Rhinolophus ferrumequinum: one gene and its partner. The protein of the gene in region 2 interacts with the protein of the main gene of each other region in a biochemical or structural test. Links are inferred from orthologs where the notes say so. Each region holds a gene or a part of one and is shown on either strand. Other genes may lie near its edges. The genes, in order: TESC and SLC9A1.

Region 1 (8,174 bases), on a different chromosome or scaffold from region 2:
GAAGACAGGCATTTCACCCACAAAGGCTGGATGGAGAGTAGGCAAGGATGGCTTTCTGGAAGGGAGCAACAACAGCTCTGCTGAGTCCTGAAGGATAAAGGGCGTGAGCTTCGTAAAGATGCAGAGCTAAGACGAAATGTTTGCAACCTTCACCCGGGTGGTGGTTGCAGAGGCATTCCCGTATATAAACACTGAATTGTACGTGGTAAAATGAAGAGAGCGCTTCGGGCAGAGGGTACGGTTTGTGCAAAGGCCTGCAGGTGAGAAAAATATATGGGCAAGCTTTTCCTACCCCTTCTGGGTTCCTAGAAATCTGACAGGCAACTAAACCCAGTGAGAGCACAGTGGTGTCAGGACAGCTGCCTTAGGGATCCTGTGATTCCCCAAACCTCTACTTATAAGCTGTGGGACTGCAGGCAAGTTGCTTTACGCCTCTGAGCCTCAGTTTCCTTATCTGTAAAACAACCATATGGCCACTTTCCCTGGAGGGTTATCGTGAAGATTCCACCATAGTGCGTGCAAAGTGCTCGGCATTTTCATCCGATGTCGACCACACCATCCTATGCTCACCCTTCTCATTTTTTCCAGAGGGGGAAAGGGACCAGGCTGATTTCTTCAAATCCGGGGCCATCCTGGTGCTCAGAGAGGCTGGGGGAGCCTAGCAACCTAGGATCCAGATGGGGACACTGAAGCTCATAGAGGTAAAATGACGTGCTTAAGGTCATGCAGCTAGGAAGAACTGAGACCAAGATTTAACTCTCAGCTGTGGCTCAGAGTGACCAGGACATACAAATGTGTTTAAAGCATAGCTAATAAAACTAAACACTTGCCCAAAGCCACATACCTAGAAAGACCCCTTAAATCAGGCTCCTGCCAAAACCTGAGTCCCAATTATGGCTGTGCCCTCATCTCATACGATTCTTGTTTCTTGTTCTCAACTTCTTCCTGCCACAGGACCTTTGCATTTACTGTTCCCTCTGCCCAAAATGGACCTTCCACTGACCTTCATGTGGCTGGCGCTTCCTTATTTGGGTTTCTGTCCCATTATCACCTCCTCAGAGAGGCCCTCCTGGCCTACCCTAAAGAAATGTTTCCCTGCCCCCCCCTCCACCCCTCCAGACCTCATGTCCCTATTTTGTTCACAGAGTTCAATACAAATGGGTTGATTTGATTATATGTGTGTCCCCCTCAGGAACACCAGTCTCTGGGTCCCCTCTAAATCCCCAGTGCCTGGTAGATAAATACTGGCTGAACAGACAAAAGCGCCCAAACTATGCCTGCCCCTGTCAGAGGACTAGAGGGAACTTCCCGCGTGCTTACAGTATGGAGAACGGAAGGGGTTCATCTTCCCCTCAGACCTCAGAACCCCTTCTGTCTCCCTTCCTCCTTTGGGAAGTGAAATTTGAGTTCTGGCCAGCAAGAAAAGATACCACGTCAGCCACATCTAGGAAAGCTTCAGAACAGGAACACAGCAGGTCACCTCCAGTCAGGACCGAACCCAGGAAACTGACAAGATTCCCAGCATGCTCTGTGGCCCCATCACCTGTCAAACCCACCAGCAGGAATTCCCCCAGACTGCCTGCCTGCTCTTGGGGCAGCCTGAGAGATGGGGGCCAGTGGCCAACCCACCCTTGGCGCGGGGGGGGGGAGGGGAGATCCCAGCTATAGAGAACCTCCAACCTGTCCAGATACAAGGCAGCGAGAGGCAAAGAGAGGGCACTCAAGAAATAATAAAAACGGGAGGAAACCCACGAAAGTCAGGGCAAGAAGAATCCTACCTCCTCTCTCACATTAGCCTGGGGTTTGAACTGGACTTTATAAAACTTTTCGAAGAAGTAAAATATTCACACATGATTCAAAATGAAAATATAACTAAGTTTACAGTGAAAAGTTCATTTCCCCTTCACCCCTTCCACCAAATCCCTGAGGATTCATTATTTTTACTGCGTTGTGGGTCCTTCCAGAGTCACTGATGCAAATAAAGCAATTACAAATATATGTTCTTATTCCCCCTTTTTTAAACAAAAATGTTTCACGTTATATATAATGTACCACACCCTTTCCCACTCCATTTACAGATAATTCTATATTTGTACACAGGAAGACATACATATATGTATACGTATACACACACACACACACACACACACACACTCTCTCCAGTTGTTAAGAGAGCTTTCTGTAATTTCCACCCAAGTCTCCTGGCAAGGGGTGTTCAGATTGGGGGTCAGGAGGAGTCGTTTTTCAGCCCACGCACAAACGGCTGGTTTCTTACCAGGACCCACTACAGAGGCTGATTGTCTGCACCAAGCTCAAAGCAGGCGTCAGGAGCCAGAGCCTTCTTAGAAGTGACATCTGCAGCTGCCGTTTTTTGAACATCTACCAGGTACTAGCAGAACTCCCATTCCAAAGAGAAGGAAACCGAGACTTAGAGACGTAAAGTGACTAGTCCAAGGTCACACAGCCAGGAAGGAAGTGGTGCTCACACCCTGTCTGTCCATCTCCAAAGCCAACATCCCCTCACCTGGCCTCCCTCGGTCTTCAGCCCACACTCCTCTCCTCACAGCTGGTGGCAGAGCCCGGCTGCGGAGGTCAGGGCCCAGGGTCAAGTTCCCTGACTGGCTGGACTTGGGCTGACAGGCGCTTCCGCCAGACAAGTGCCTGCGGTCAGCTCTGCCTGGCGGTACCGCCTCCCCACCTCCCCCGTGCGCCCCGCCTCTGCGGGTCCAGGGAGTCCCGGCGAGCTCGAGGAAGGTCGTCCGGCTCCTGCAAAGTGCTCTGCGGACGCTGCCTCGCTTAGACCTCCCAGCTACCCAAGGAGGTGGATCCACCTCAACCCATTTTACAGATGGGAGAACGAAGCCAGAGCCCGGCTCCCACCCATCTCCCGCCGACTTCAAAACTTTCCGCCCCCTGCGCATCGTGAATCCAAACGGCTTTCTGATGCGGGGCGCGCACCAGCTGGGTGTCCGCGGCACTGGCTCTCCCAGGCGCTGACTCTCCCAGTCCCAGCGCGGGCCCTGGGGGAGCTCGGGCCCTGCTTGTTCCCGGGTCTGTAGTCCTCAGGTCTGGGAGTTCCCTGCCAATTCTAAGAGTGCCAAGGCTGAGCAGCCGCGGCACTCCTCGCCACAGCCTGAAAAGTGGTCGACAGCCACCCATTTGAAGGACGGGGAGACTGAGGCGCAGAGAGGGCCAGCTACTAGCCCAAGGTCACACAGCACGGCGGAGCGAAGCCGGGCGGGCGGCGGTGGGTTGGGAGCCCCCACGCCAGCCGGCGAGCGGTACCCATCCGTGTCCCCGCGTCCGTCCCCCGAGGAATACTCACAGCCGGTCTTGCCCATAAGCTCTCGCACCTCCTCGGACGCGGAGTGGGCAGCGCCCATGGTGCCCGCGGCGGGGACTCCCGGGGGCGCGTCCCTCGCAGGCCCTGGGCTGGCGTCGGCTGCGTAGCGGCCGGTTCTGCCTCGGGTCCAACGCGAGTGGGACGCCGGGGACAGGTTTGAGTCGCAGATTCCGCGTGGGGCCGAAGCACGGCCTCTTATAGCACCGGAGGGCGGCGCGCCGCGGTCCTAGCGCGCACCGGCTTCCAGCACTGCGGGGAGTGGGGAGCGCCCCGCCCCGGGGCCGGAAACGGCGGAGTAGCGGGGGGAGGGGGGGGTAGGAGGGGGCCCAAGAAACCCACCTCCCAGGGTCCTCAGCAGCGGACGTGCACGTCGCGCCTCGCCCCCTCCGCACCCTGTCGGCTCTGGAAAGACGCAGGTGTGAGCAGAGTTGGGGTGTGAACAGAGGAGGGATCAGACCTCAGGGAGGTTTCCTTGCCCACGCCACCCGGGGTTCCATCACATATCCTCCCAGATCTCAGGAGGGACATTCCCCTGCGATCATGAAGGAGGACAGCGAGCAATAACTAGCTCTATGGTGAATAAAGGTCATGTAGCAGCAATCCACCTTGAAGGCGCACCAGGCGCTTTGTTTGGCCTATTGCAGGGAACCCCCTCACCCCACCTCCCCCTCCCAGCACCCTGGTGAGGTGGACACACCCACGTGCTGACCCGCCCATCTGAGCCTCAGCATTGGAGCTTGGGCGCTGGGGGGAGTTCTCAAACTTGAGAAGAGAACTCCACCACCCACGGATTCTGACTCAGGCAGGGCCCAGGAAGCTGCATTTCAGGCAAACTGTCAGATGTCATGTTGGTGGTCCCCAAGTCAGTGAGAGAAGTTCTGTGTTAACGTGACTTAAGGGGATAGGGTTCTGTAGCCAGGCTGGGTGCCAGGGCCACTCCTGCCACCTGTCTTACCAGGATTCCTTCTCTTGCAAATGGGGATAACATAGTTAATGAGATGTCCCTCAGAAGGGCATGGCAGGGGACACAGCACAAGGTGGTCTCTGTGGAATCATGTCCACTTTGCAAGTGAGGCACTGGTTTTCAGAGAGGTCACACATTGAGAGCAGAAACTCAAAAGTCAAGACTTTCCAGTTCTCAAGGCTGGGTCATCGTGCTCCGTGGTGCTTGGTGACACAGCCATCAATGATTCACATGTATTCAGTGTCTGTGCTGGGCATGAGCCTCGGCACAGGGCTGGGGGGGATTGAGGGTCCTTCAGTGCTCACAGAGACTTGAGTGGGACCCCTACATCAGCTGCACAGGGCGCTGGGGAGGGGGTACCATAGTGCAGACCACAGACCTAAACCAAAGGTCACAGCCCTTCCCAGGGCAAGGGTGCCTTTTGGAGCCACCAGGAGTCTCCTGAAACCTGCCAGGCCAGCAGAATCAGCCCCCTTCTGGTTGAAAATCCAGCTGCCCATTACACTCTGGTGGGCACTCAGAGAGCTGGGGCCGTGCCTGGAATCTGCATTTTAAAAGCACCCTTGGGTGCTGCTAAGACCTACCTGGGGAAATGTTGTCTGTCAGCACCAGCTGGTCTGAGTGAACTGGAAAGCCGACCTAGAGACTGCACTTTGGGTCAGAAGGTATCTAGAAACCCAGACTGGCCTTGGGGTCAGAAAGGGGATCCCCAGACCCCTGGGGAATTACCCACAACTGCTGGGAACACTTTTATTCTGACTTAAAATAGCGGTTCCTGGAATTTTATTAAATAATTCAAGGATTCAATGATGGTGCTTTCTGCTGGGGAGACAGAAAATGGAGTTCTCGCGACTGCATCTCCTCCCCTTGGCATGGGTGGGGATAAAGGCCTTGGGAAGGTGCTCCGGGACAGTGAGGGGTCACATGGCTTTGCTCCGCCCTTCAGGTGACCACAGAGAGGCCCCCTAGGGTATGGGGTGAGGGCATCCCACCTTTACTCCATCACCTGCTATGCAGTCAACTTTATCTCGAGCCCCACTGGCCACTGTCATCTCCCAGACAAGCTGTTCCTTCTGCCTGGGGCTCCCTTCACCTCCCTCTTCCTATGGCCTGGGCTTTCTCTTCAGATCTCAATGTTAATTGCACCTCCCAGAGGCCATCCCAGGGTCCCCATCGTTCTCCTGGGTCTGCTGCCAAACAAGCCCCCTTCGCCAGTCAGCCAGTCAGCTGGGAGCTGGAAGAGAGGAAGGCGCCGGTTGTGATAAGCTAACCCAGGGAGATTTACTCCTGATGGCAGGGCTTGGAGAAACAATCTGGAGCTCCTTGTGGCAGCAGGAAGGTGGAGACCCCAAGGCACAATTTGTGGGTTCATTCGTTCATTTATTTATTCCCTGCACATTTATGGAAAGCCTGCTGTGTTCAGGGTTCTGGCTGGGTCCTGGAGCCACATCCAGCAATAACCAGGAGCCACACTTTCACTCCTAAGGAACTCCTGGAGGAGTGGGGAGACCCACAAACAGGAGGTGACCATGCAGGGGGGTAAACAGGGCCACAGAGATCTGGAATGTTCAAGCCAGAATGGCCCCTGGGGACTCTATTATCCCTTAAGCTGAATTTTGGGGAGTCCATGATTGTCCCCACCTGTGGTCCCAAAGGGACAGGCCAAAGGCAAATACTGGGTAGACAGATGTAACCATGAATTTTGGGGGCCCTGCAGTGGCACCCACCCTCTGCCTGGGCTTTGCCCCCCTTCTCTGGCAATGATGCACACACACACGCGGTAGGGCTCTCTCCACACAAAGCCTGTTGCTGCCTGTTCTAGGACGTCACGGGTTTAATTCAATCCTACCCATAGCGCTGTTGGCGTCACCAAGGAAGCCTGGAGCTTTGCATGGGGTCTGACTGGGCTGATTGGATCTGTTGTCTGGAGCTCTGGACGAGGGGCACCCTGTGTGGTGTCTTTATCCTCCCAGCACACAGCACACAGCGTGACTTTCTGAGGGTAGGGAACACTTTAGTCACCAGGCAACTGCGTCTCTTCTCCCAGAAGAGCTGATTAAAAACAGCAGCCACGTTGAGAATGGCTGGTACCTGTGAGGCCACGACGGGCAGCTGAGCCCAGAGACGGCGAGGATGGTCTTCCTTGGTCTCTCCCACATTCGTGTCAGGGAAGGCTACGAAACCACACTTGGGCAGGTGACTTCACCTGCCTGGGCCTCAGTTTCCCCATCTGTAGAAAGGCAATAATAATGGTGGTTGTGAGGGTTAAATGTGGATTCATAAAGGTAAAGTGCTTAACACAATGCCTGACATGGTGAGTGCTCCCCATGGAGTGCTGATAAACAGGCTCTGGAAAAGGGGAGGGAAGGCCTGATGTGTAGCATTGGCCGATTCCTCTGGCATAAATACGCCCACTGTGGTCAGTTTTAAGCTACCAACAATTTAACAACTGGGGCTTGCAAAATTCCTGAATGTTTAACACTTTGCTCTTACAAGCAGGTCCGAGACAACTGCCGTTGACTGTTGTCATAATTCATACGTTCACTTGTTCATTCATTCATTCATTTACTCACTCACTACTGGGTGCCAGGAATTTGGACACCACAGTGAAGGAGTCAGTCCCTGATGTCAGGGATCCCAGAGTCTGGAAGGAAAGAGACATGAACAGACCATCACTAAAGGGCCCACCAATGGGTCCTGGCTGCTGCGGGAGCCTGGAGGAGAGGTACCCAACACATGCCCATTTTATAGCTGGGAAGACCAAGGTGTTTCAGAACGGGTCGTAAACCAGAATCAGAGTGCAGATGTGAAGCTGGGTAAATGGCAGTTCCTAGTATTCACCTGGGTCACTCCCCTGTCCCTCTAATCACCGAGCTTGGGAGTACTCCTGAGGCTTGGCAACGTTCTGGGAGCAACAAGACTCCTTTAATCTTTAGGTCACTGACTCCAAGAAATTTATGGGGACTCCAAGTGCCATCTTGCTTAGCCTCTGACTTAAAGAAGACCATAACTAAACCACTTCAAACAAGTGAGGATTAGCAATGCTCTCCTAAAACATGTCCAGGGAGGGAAACCCGGCGAGTGCTCTATGCCATGTCTCACACGGACAGTTTTTCTCTTCAGCTCATTCAGGCTCCTGATGCTGGTCTTGTATGTCTCAGTGTAAACGGAATCAGAGAAGAACCATCCCCCATTTGTGTTTGGAATTAAAGTTATCTTTTAAAGAATCCTTTCTCACCCAAGTCACCCTAGTCGTTCCAGCTAACTTTGGGTTGTTGCGGGAGATAGATTCATCTGTATAATGGGTCCACAATCGCATCTTTATAGAGAAGATTCAGCAAGAATGTAATGGCTGGCATAGAGCAGACCCTCCCTCCACAGCGGCTCATTCCCTCCCTGGGAGGATGGGATCCAGGACTTTACAGCCAGCCCCTCTCTCCTCCTTCTGCGAGCTCACTCTTCCCCACAATACCTGGTGAGACAAATAAGCAGAATTCACACTTGAATCTCGGCCCAGCCCCCACTTCTTAGGAAATCATTTTTGGTCTTGGGAGAGTGATCCCTGCAAGGGGATTTTAAAATAATTGTGCCCCCTCCCATCACAGCCACCAGCATCTACATCGCAACCCAGACCACAGAGGGAGAGGCAGGGCTTTGGGCGGGAGGGCTGACCGCCTAAAAATAGGAGACGGGGGGCTCTTTGGGGAGGGAAGCTTGAGCATGTTTTCTATTATTTATATAAATACTGACCTCTTACTGGAACTTGCAGGGGGCAGATGGAAGTTTGTCCCTGGATGGGCTTCAAACTTTGCCTTGTTGTCCGAGAAACAAACTCAACAGAGAAGCAGAAAGCAGTGGCAGGAGCCC
Region 2 (8,020 bases):
CTGGGGTTGAGAGATGATTTGTAATCCTCCAGCCTCAGAGGAAGAAGTAGGAGGCTAAGTGATTTGCCTGAGGTGGTTAAAATACCAACAGAGGCAGTTGCCACTCATTGAGTGCTCCCTATGGCTACGAAGCCAGCTCTATGTGCATTAATTTACGTCATCGTCACATCAGCAGTACTATGGCTAGATTCTCTTATTTCCCCCATTTTATACATAAGGAAACTGAGGCTCAGAGAGGATAAGTGGCAGGGTGGTGGAACCCTTATCTAACTTCAATTCTACACCAGAAAGGTAAAGGAAAAAAATGGGCTTTCACTTTTGCCACCTTAACAGGGACCCTTGAGATCTTTCAGTCACCTTTCTCTCTACTTTCTTCCCCGAGATCGTCAGATGCTAGGACTCCTCTGTTTTCAGAGGCAGAAAAATGTCCTTCTGAGGCAGAGACACGGACTTTTGGAACTGCAAAGGCCTTCAGAGATCATATCCAGCCTCCTTTTACAACGGGGAAACTGAGGCCCAAGGCTGAGTTATTTGCCAGGGTTACCCAAGTCAGTGAAATGGCAGAAATGGCAGACATGGAAGGGGACACAAAGATCGACAGACAGGTGGAAATGAGTAACTGGCCCAAGGTCACAGACAGAGATGGGATGAGAAGCCAAGTTTCCTCACTTCTGGACTGATACCCTCACCATGGCACCATCTCTGTTCTCCAGCTGCCCAGGGTCCCTATTACAGGTTCTGGGAGGGACAAAGCCTAATCCCATTAGAACTGGAGACATCAGGCCTGCAGGGACAAACTCCTGATTGCCCAAAGTAGGATTTTTGTGGTCATGCTATTGCCCCCCCAGGAATCACTGAGACCTGCAGTGCGTGTACTGGCCCCCAGCGCTCTAACACAATGCCAGGTGTGGTTGGGAGGAGAGTGATTCAGAGACGATGCGTGTGAGGTCTCTTCCTGGTCTCACACAAGCAAATGACACATCATGGTCACTTCAGTTTCTTACCACAAATTAAGACACAGGTTTAATGACTCAATTGATATGGTCAAAGGTAGACATTCTTGCCAGTTTCACAGGTGGACGAGACCTGCAGAAAAAGGCCCCAGCTCGTTCAAGGTCATGTATTTGTCAGAATCGGTACAAATGGCTCCCCTTGCCCAGTCCTTGATGCCAGGAAGCTGGCTGCCATCAGGGTACAGATGCCAGTGGCCCAGGTCCATCTATAGGCCCTGCTACTGTCACAGCAGCCAAGCACCGCACCAGGAAGCCAGATTCTGGCTCTGTCAAAACAGGGTGCCTTCCTGCAGCATGTCCCAGAGCCTGCCTCCTACCAGCCTGGCATCACCAATCAGCTCCTTCAGGTCCTCGGGTAAGCTGCAAGGCTTTCTGCCAAGAGTCACAAACGCCCCAAACCCAGACCAGCAGAGTCCCTTGCCTTCTACAGATTAGCTGGGGCTAAAAAAGCAAAGGCAGCTTTCAAAGCACCCCCCCACCCCGGACACACTTCCAGGGACTTGTGAGTGATGCAGGTCCCCGAGAGATAAATCAATCACCCAGCAGAACAAAGTGCTCAGGCCGAGCAGGGAGACAACTTTTCAGAAGGGAACAACTTTTCTGTCTCCTTCTCCCAAAAAGATCGTTTCAAAGTCTCTTCAGACCAGAGCATCCCGAGCCCCTCCACCTGTCCCTCTTCCACTTGGTCGAGCAGCAGGCCAACACTACTGGCCAACCCAGGCAGTACCTTGAGACACAGCCGGGTGGCTGCTAACCTGGAGGTGAGCTGGGGCCAGACCAAGCTTCAACCTCCTCCACCCCCAAAACGGACTTCAGAAATTTCCAGGGCCCCCTGTCCCATAAACTGCATAAGGAATGGCATTCCTGGGCCGGAAACTGACTCAGGGGCTCCTGACCAGCCTGGGCAGGCAAAGCTGACAGATAATATTCCACGGATAAAGTAAGGTAAAAAGGTAGGGATCCCTTGTGTTCCAGCACACTGCTAGGTCTCCAGCACGCAGGTACCCTGCGATACTAAAACTCCTTAAACAGGCCAAGTAGAAATATACTCCATCCTGGAACACCCTCCCATGAAGCGTGTAATTGCACTGGTTGCTGTTGACGGAGCAGAATGTGCCACTTGCTGGAAGACACTCCTCTCTGCCTTCCACGCAGCTGGGAGCCTGGCTCCCCTCGGGGTCTGGCCCAACCAGAGGAGACCTGCCAAGCCTGGAAGCCTTGCTGAAAGGACCCAGTATCAGAAGCATCCCATGCTCCAATCCCCCTCTTTCCCATGCATGATGCTGGCTTCAACCTTGGGAGGCCTCAAACCACAGAGCTCAAGTCTGAGAAGGACCAAGATGGCAGAATGGAGGTTGCCTACATTATAGGAGTCCAGACCCTAACTCCTGGGCAGCCTCAAGTGGTAAGGATGGGGCAAGAAGCTCACCAGGCTGGTGGCAACAGAAGCAGTGAAGCAAACTGGACTTACCTATCTTCATGAGGCAGGCAAGCAGGATCCAGAGGGAGATCTCGAAGGGTCTGCGCACATGTGAGTAGTCGATGTCCAGGACTGGAAAGGCCTTTCGTTGTGTGCTGTGTTCAGTGCCCGAATGGTTAACAGGGTGGCTCTGGGGGGTGGTCTCCGGTGGGGCGGTGGTGACATCCCCAATTGAGCGTTCCCGTGGTGGCTCTGAGCCTCGGATGGTGCTGGCAGTAGGACTGAGCTGGAGGCCATGGCTCCTGAGAACAGGTAGCAGCCCCACCAAGGCTACCATCACCAGCAACGAAGGGAAGATTCGAGGTGGAGAGAGGCCACAGATGCCAGACCACAGAAGCATCCTGCCGCTCCCTTGGCCGAGGAGGCCTGGACTCTTAGCAAAGTGAGAGTCAGACCTGGGACATAGGCAGCAAGGGGTCAGCAGGTGGGAAGAGAGCCTGGAGTAGTCTCTAGGAAAAGTTCATGTTTTAGAGAGGTCGTTTTGCGGAAGCAGTCCTCTGGGGGTGGACAGAATCTGGGTTCTCAATCTAGAACTCCAAACTGGGGAAGAGGCAGAAGGACCCAGGAAGGACCACAGGAGACCTAAAGGTCTGGAACTCCCGGCCAGGGAAAGGAGAGAGAGGAAGGGACAGGACAAGTTGGACCCCAGGCAAGGAAAAGGAAGAGGGGAGGCTGGGACCCTCGGCTGAGCAAAGTGACTAAGGAGAGAGAGGGGAATAGACTACGGGCAGGGGCAGGAAGCCGGAGCTCAAGGAAGGGGACAGAAGGCGGTGGGACCCAGTCCAGGCAAAGAAGAGAGGGGTCTGGGAGCCCAAGCTGCGAGGAAGGAGTGCAGCCGGAAAGCGGTCGGGAGCTTCCCCACCCAGAGAAGCGTCGGGGTGCAGGCGCACCTGGCTGAGATTCCGGGGAAATGGAGGGAGGAGGAAGGCGGAGGCAGGCGGCCTAGCGGAGAACGCTTCGGCGAGGGCTGGGAGCGGCTCGCGGTGGGCCAGCGGCTGCACGCCCCTCCTTGCGGCCCCGGCCCAGCTTCAGGTTCTCCGCGTCTACTCCCAGTCCTACTCCCAACGCCGGGCTCAGCGCCGGCGGCGGTGGACTGATGCCTGGCTGAGCCGGTCGCTGCCATTTATAGGTACCAACGAGCAGCCAGCGCAGCGGGCTAGAAGGAACGTCGGCGCCCACGCAGCGCAGCGACCCCTTGCCGCCGAGGGAAGGAAGTAGCCTGTAGCAAGAGAAAGGACAGAGATGGGGGCGGAAAAAAAGTCCTGAATCCACAGAGATTCTAACACGGGTAAAACGCTTTACTATTTACAAAGCGCTATCACATCCACACCCGCAGTCTCATGAAGGCTTCCCAATAGTCTTGCGAAGGATGTATTAGTATTTTATGTATTTAGTTACCCTGTGACCTTGAGCAAGTTACTCCCTGTTCCACAGCTTTCTCATCTATAAAATGGAAATGGTAGCAGTACCTGTATCAGAGGGATACTGAAATGACTCAATGAGATAATCTGTGTTAAGTGTTTAGAACGGAGCCCAGCACATAGAACTATTATTATAGTTCCAGTTTTGCAGATGAGGAAATGAGTGGAGAGAGTTGCTTAGCTAATATGTAAACTAGTTTGCCAGGGCTGCTGTAGCAAAGTACCACAAACTGGGTGGCTTAAAAAAAACAGAAATTTATTGTCTCATATTCTGGAGGCTAGAGGTCTAAAATCAAGGTTTTCTGAGGGCTGTGAGGGAACATCTATCTGCTCCATGCTTCTCTCCTAGCTTCTGGTGGTTTGCGGACAATCTTTGGTGTTTCTTAACTGTTGGCAGCATAACTCCAATCTTCACATGGTGATCTCCCTGTGCCTCTGTCTCTGGGTCCAAAATTCCCCTGGATTAGGGGTCCACCGATTAGGGGTCCACCCTAATGACCTCATCTTAAATTGATCATCTTCAATAATACTATTTCCATAACACTATTTCCATTTCCAAAGAAGGCCACATTCATAGGTACTGGGGGTTAGAACTTTAATATTCTTATTTAATATATATATATATATATAATTTTTTATTGGGGAATAAAAATAATTTGTGTATTGGGGAACAGTGTGTTTCTCCAGTGCCCATCAACTCCAAGTCGTTGTCCCTCAATCTAGTTGTGGAGGGCGCAGCTCACTGGCCCATATGGGACTCAAACCAGCGATCCTGTTGTTCAGAGCTTGTGCTCTAACCAGCTGAGCCATCCAGCCGCCAAGAACTTCAATATCTTTTAGGAAGACACAATTCAACCCACAGCAGTAGTGGAATTGAGATTTGAACGTATAGTGTTGGTTGGAATTGGTAAGATTCAAGAGGTCATGGCTGTACACTGCAATCATTGGAAAGCTTTTAACATTTTTTTAAATTAGTTTCAGGTGCACAAAACAATGTAATAGACATTTATCATTTCTATCCCTCACACAGTGACAACCCCTTCCCCCATCCACTACCCCTCTGACATCACACACAGCCATTACATTTCCACTGTCTCTATTCCTAATGCTGTACTCCACTTCTTGTAACTATATATATGGAAAGCTTTTAAAAACTACGTTGCCTGGGACCTATCTTCAGAGATTTGGATTCAGCTGCTCCAGGGAAGTGCCCAAACACGATGGGTATTTTTTCAGAAGCTCGCCCAGGTGATTCTAATGTACACTCAGGGTTGACAACTGTGGAAAATACTGAAATGCCATCCCTATTTTGCAAAAGAGCAAATCAAGGTCAAGAAAGTCAAAGTGACTAGCTTGGGATCACAAAATGATTTTAAAGGGGTTCATTTCAGTTTAGCAAATATTTACTGGGCCTTTTGACAAGGCTTTGGCTGGACTCTGGCAACACAGAGATAAGACATGGGCAGGAAGGAAGTGGAAGTGATTTTGGGAGGGGTCACGAAGTGGGCACAACTAAGGCTTCTCGGGTGCTGATAATATTCTATTTCTTTACTGGGTGGTATTAACAAAGGTTACGCAGAGGTACTTGTTTTGTACACTCATGATTTGTGTACTTTTCTTAAGATATGCTATCCTTTCATTAAAAGTTATTTTAAAATAATAAAGTGATGTGATAGTGACTGAAGGAGCTGACATTAAACTCAATTCTCTGCACCTCACATTCTCCTGGCACAGGCCCGGCCACTCGGGAGATGACAGAAATGCCTAGAAGAGCCGTCAGAGAAGGCCAAGGGCCTTGTGTCACCTGGGAGCAGGTGAAAGGATAACATCAGCTATACTGGAAATAACCAAAGAGAGGGGCAGCATGTAGGGCAAGGATGAGAATAATGACAATAATACTTTACAATGGTTCAGTCCTTTATAGTTCACAACCAAATGCTCCAGGTTTATCAGTGATCCAAGTGCTGGTGCATAGTGAGGGCTCAATAGATAGTAGCTATTATTCATTTTCATTTTACGATGGAAAAGCTAGGACTCAGAGACATGAAGCCATTTGGCCAGGGTCACACAGCTGTTAGGTAGCAGATCCAGAATGTAAGTCAACTTTCGAATGTCTGAATCCAGAGTTCTTTCAAAACACCACAGGTTCAGTTTAGAAAAAAGAAGAGAGGGAAGGAATGGAGCTAGTGGAGGGACTTTCCACAGATGACATTGGGGCCAGAACCCTGAGATCTATAGTCCTTTCCGGTCTCAAGGGCAGCATTCACAGCTGTGCTCCCATCCTCCCTACTCTCCAGCTCTACCTCACTCATCCTCAGTGAGTGCTTGGGAGGTAGCAGATCCTACAAGAGGCAGCCCTGAGATCCTCCACCGCCTGGAGAAGGTTATAGCATCATGACAGAACTGGGAAAGAGCCCTTGAGAAAAACTACCTGGGACAGCCCACGGCCAAGGCCCAGCCGAGGCCAGGCAGTATAGCATAAGAATTAAGTACGTGCACTGTCTAATGTGGATAGCCAGATTTTCTAAGTTCAAATCCCACAACCACCACTCACTAGTTGTAAGACCTTAGTTAAATCCATTAATCTCCCTGTTCCACAGTTTCTCCCTCCATAATGTGGGGACCATAATAGTGGCAATCTCATGAATATATTATGAATTATATATTATGAATATAATATGAATATATTAACCAGTGCACTTAGAGCGGCACCTAGCAAGTACCACGTATATTTACCTGATTATCTTTATTTACATGTACTGAGGGCCTCCAAAGTAGACTTTTGGTGGTAGGACCACCTGAAGTTACATATTCAGTCACAGAGACACATGGACAGGATAGAAAGAAGATCCTCACATCTGTGAAATTGGTCCCATGATCAGACCACATCACCTGTAGCATGCTATGAATTTAATAATTTTCGATAAATTACATCATAGTGTATTGTGCATACTAAAAGCATGATTTTGTTATAGGTAATCAGTTAACATGTACCGCAATGTCTGTACCTTTGTTTGAGCAAGTCCTCATTTTGTAACCATTCCAGGCCCACACTGCTCTTGACTCAGGGAGGCCATGTCTCTGCAGGTCCTTCCCCCTGCAGATCTAGAAGAGTCTCAGGATCCTGGGCCCCAAATGGCATCTGGTCCTGCATAGGCCATATCTGTTTCCCTATCCCCTCACTGAATTCTTTCACTAAAAGTGATGGGAATTTTATGAACTTGCTGTCGCTGTGACATCAACAGCTACGTGGCAAATAACGTGTGGTACTAGGAAAGGATCCACCGGGCCACTTACTAGTTGTACATGACGGGCAAGTCACATTTGGTTTCTGTCATTCAGTTTTTCATGTGTATGAAAGGTGGGTGGGGTCGTAATTCCTGACTTGTAAGGTTATTACGAGGATTAAAGGGCTGGTGCTTGTCAAGCTCAGTTTACAGCCCTGCAAGTCTCTCTTCTTTCGGTCTCCCCGTCACTCACTCCACCCCAATCACCCTGCTTCCTTGCTATTTCTCAAACACTGCCAGCCCCATTTCTGCCTCAGGGCCTTAGCACTTGCTGTTCCTTTTGCCTGGAACATTCTTCCCCAGATCCACTTGGCTCACTCCCTCGTATCCCTCAAGCCTTTCCACAAATCTCCCTTCTCGGTGTGGCTTACTTGCTACATGATAACTCTAGTCAATAGTGATGCTTCCCCTGGGAAGCCCAGCCGGCACCATTACCACCCGGTCCCCAGCCGTTATATGGCTTCTTTTTTCTTTGTTCCATAACTCTTTTCACCTTCTCACATATGACATAATATTAACCTGTTTCTATATTTTATTGTTTACGGCCATTTCCCCTCATAGGATGTGAACTCCAAGAGGACAGGAGAGCCCTCATGAATGAGTGAATGAATGAATGAATGACAGGATATAGTATTTGCACATAAGAAAACCAAGGCTCCAAAAGGAGAGTCGCTTGTGGACACAGAGCTGGGGCGCCAGGTGTGGATCCAAGTCTGTCTGACTCTGAAGTCCAAGCTTTTCCCACTTCTTTAGGCTAAGAGCCACCATGAAAAAACATGTACACCCTGGGCAACTAGAAGAGAGTTGGGAGGATGGTAA

What was found.
Region 1: the proteins of SLC9A1 (region 2) and TESC form a complex in vitro, tested with the Homo sapiens proteins (4 studies listed by BioGRID and IntAct, with this or other methods). The link is inferred for Rhinolophus ferrumequinum from reciprocal best matches to the Homo sapiens genes SLC9A1 and TESC.

Annotation. Positions count from the first base shown.
Region 1 is NC_046308.1:10,826,921-10,835,094, forward strand, and holds the start of TESC (calcineurin B homologous protein 3), read right to left. Parts: upstream 3,579-8,174; 5' UTR 3,384-3,578; coding exon 3,326-3,383; intron 1-3,325. UniProt on the Homo sapiens protein: Functions as an integral cofactor in cell pH regulation by controlling plasma membrane-type Na(+)/H(+) exchange activity. Promotes the maturation, transport, cell surface stability and exchange activity of SLC9A1/NHE1 at the plasma membrane.
Region 2 is NC_046292.1:18,598,968-18,606,987, forward strand, and holds the start of SLC9A1 (sodium/hydrogen exchanger 1), read right to left. Parts: upstream 3,640-8,020; 5' UTR 2,834-3,639; coding exon 2,485-2,833; intron 1-2,484. UniProt on the Homo sapiens protein: Electroneutral Na(+) /H(+) antiporter that extrudes Na(+) in exchange for external protons driven by the inward sodium ion chemical gradient, protecting cells from acidification that occurs from metabolism.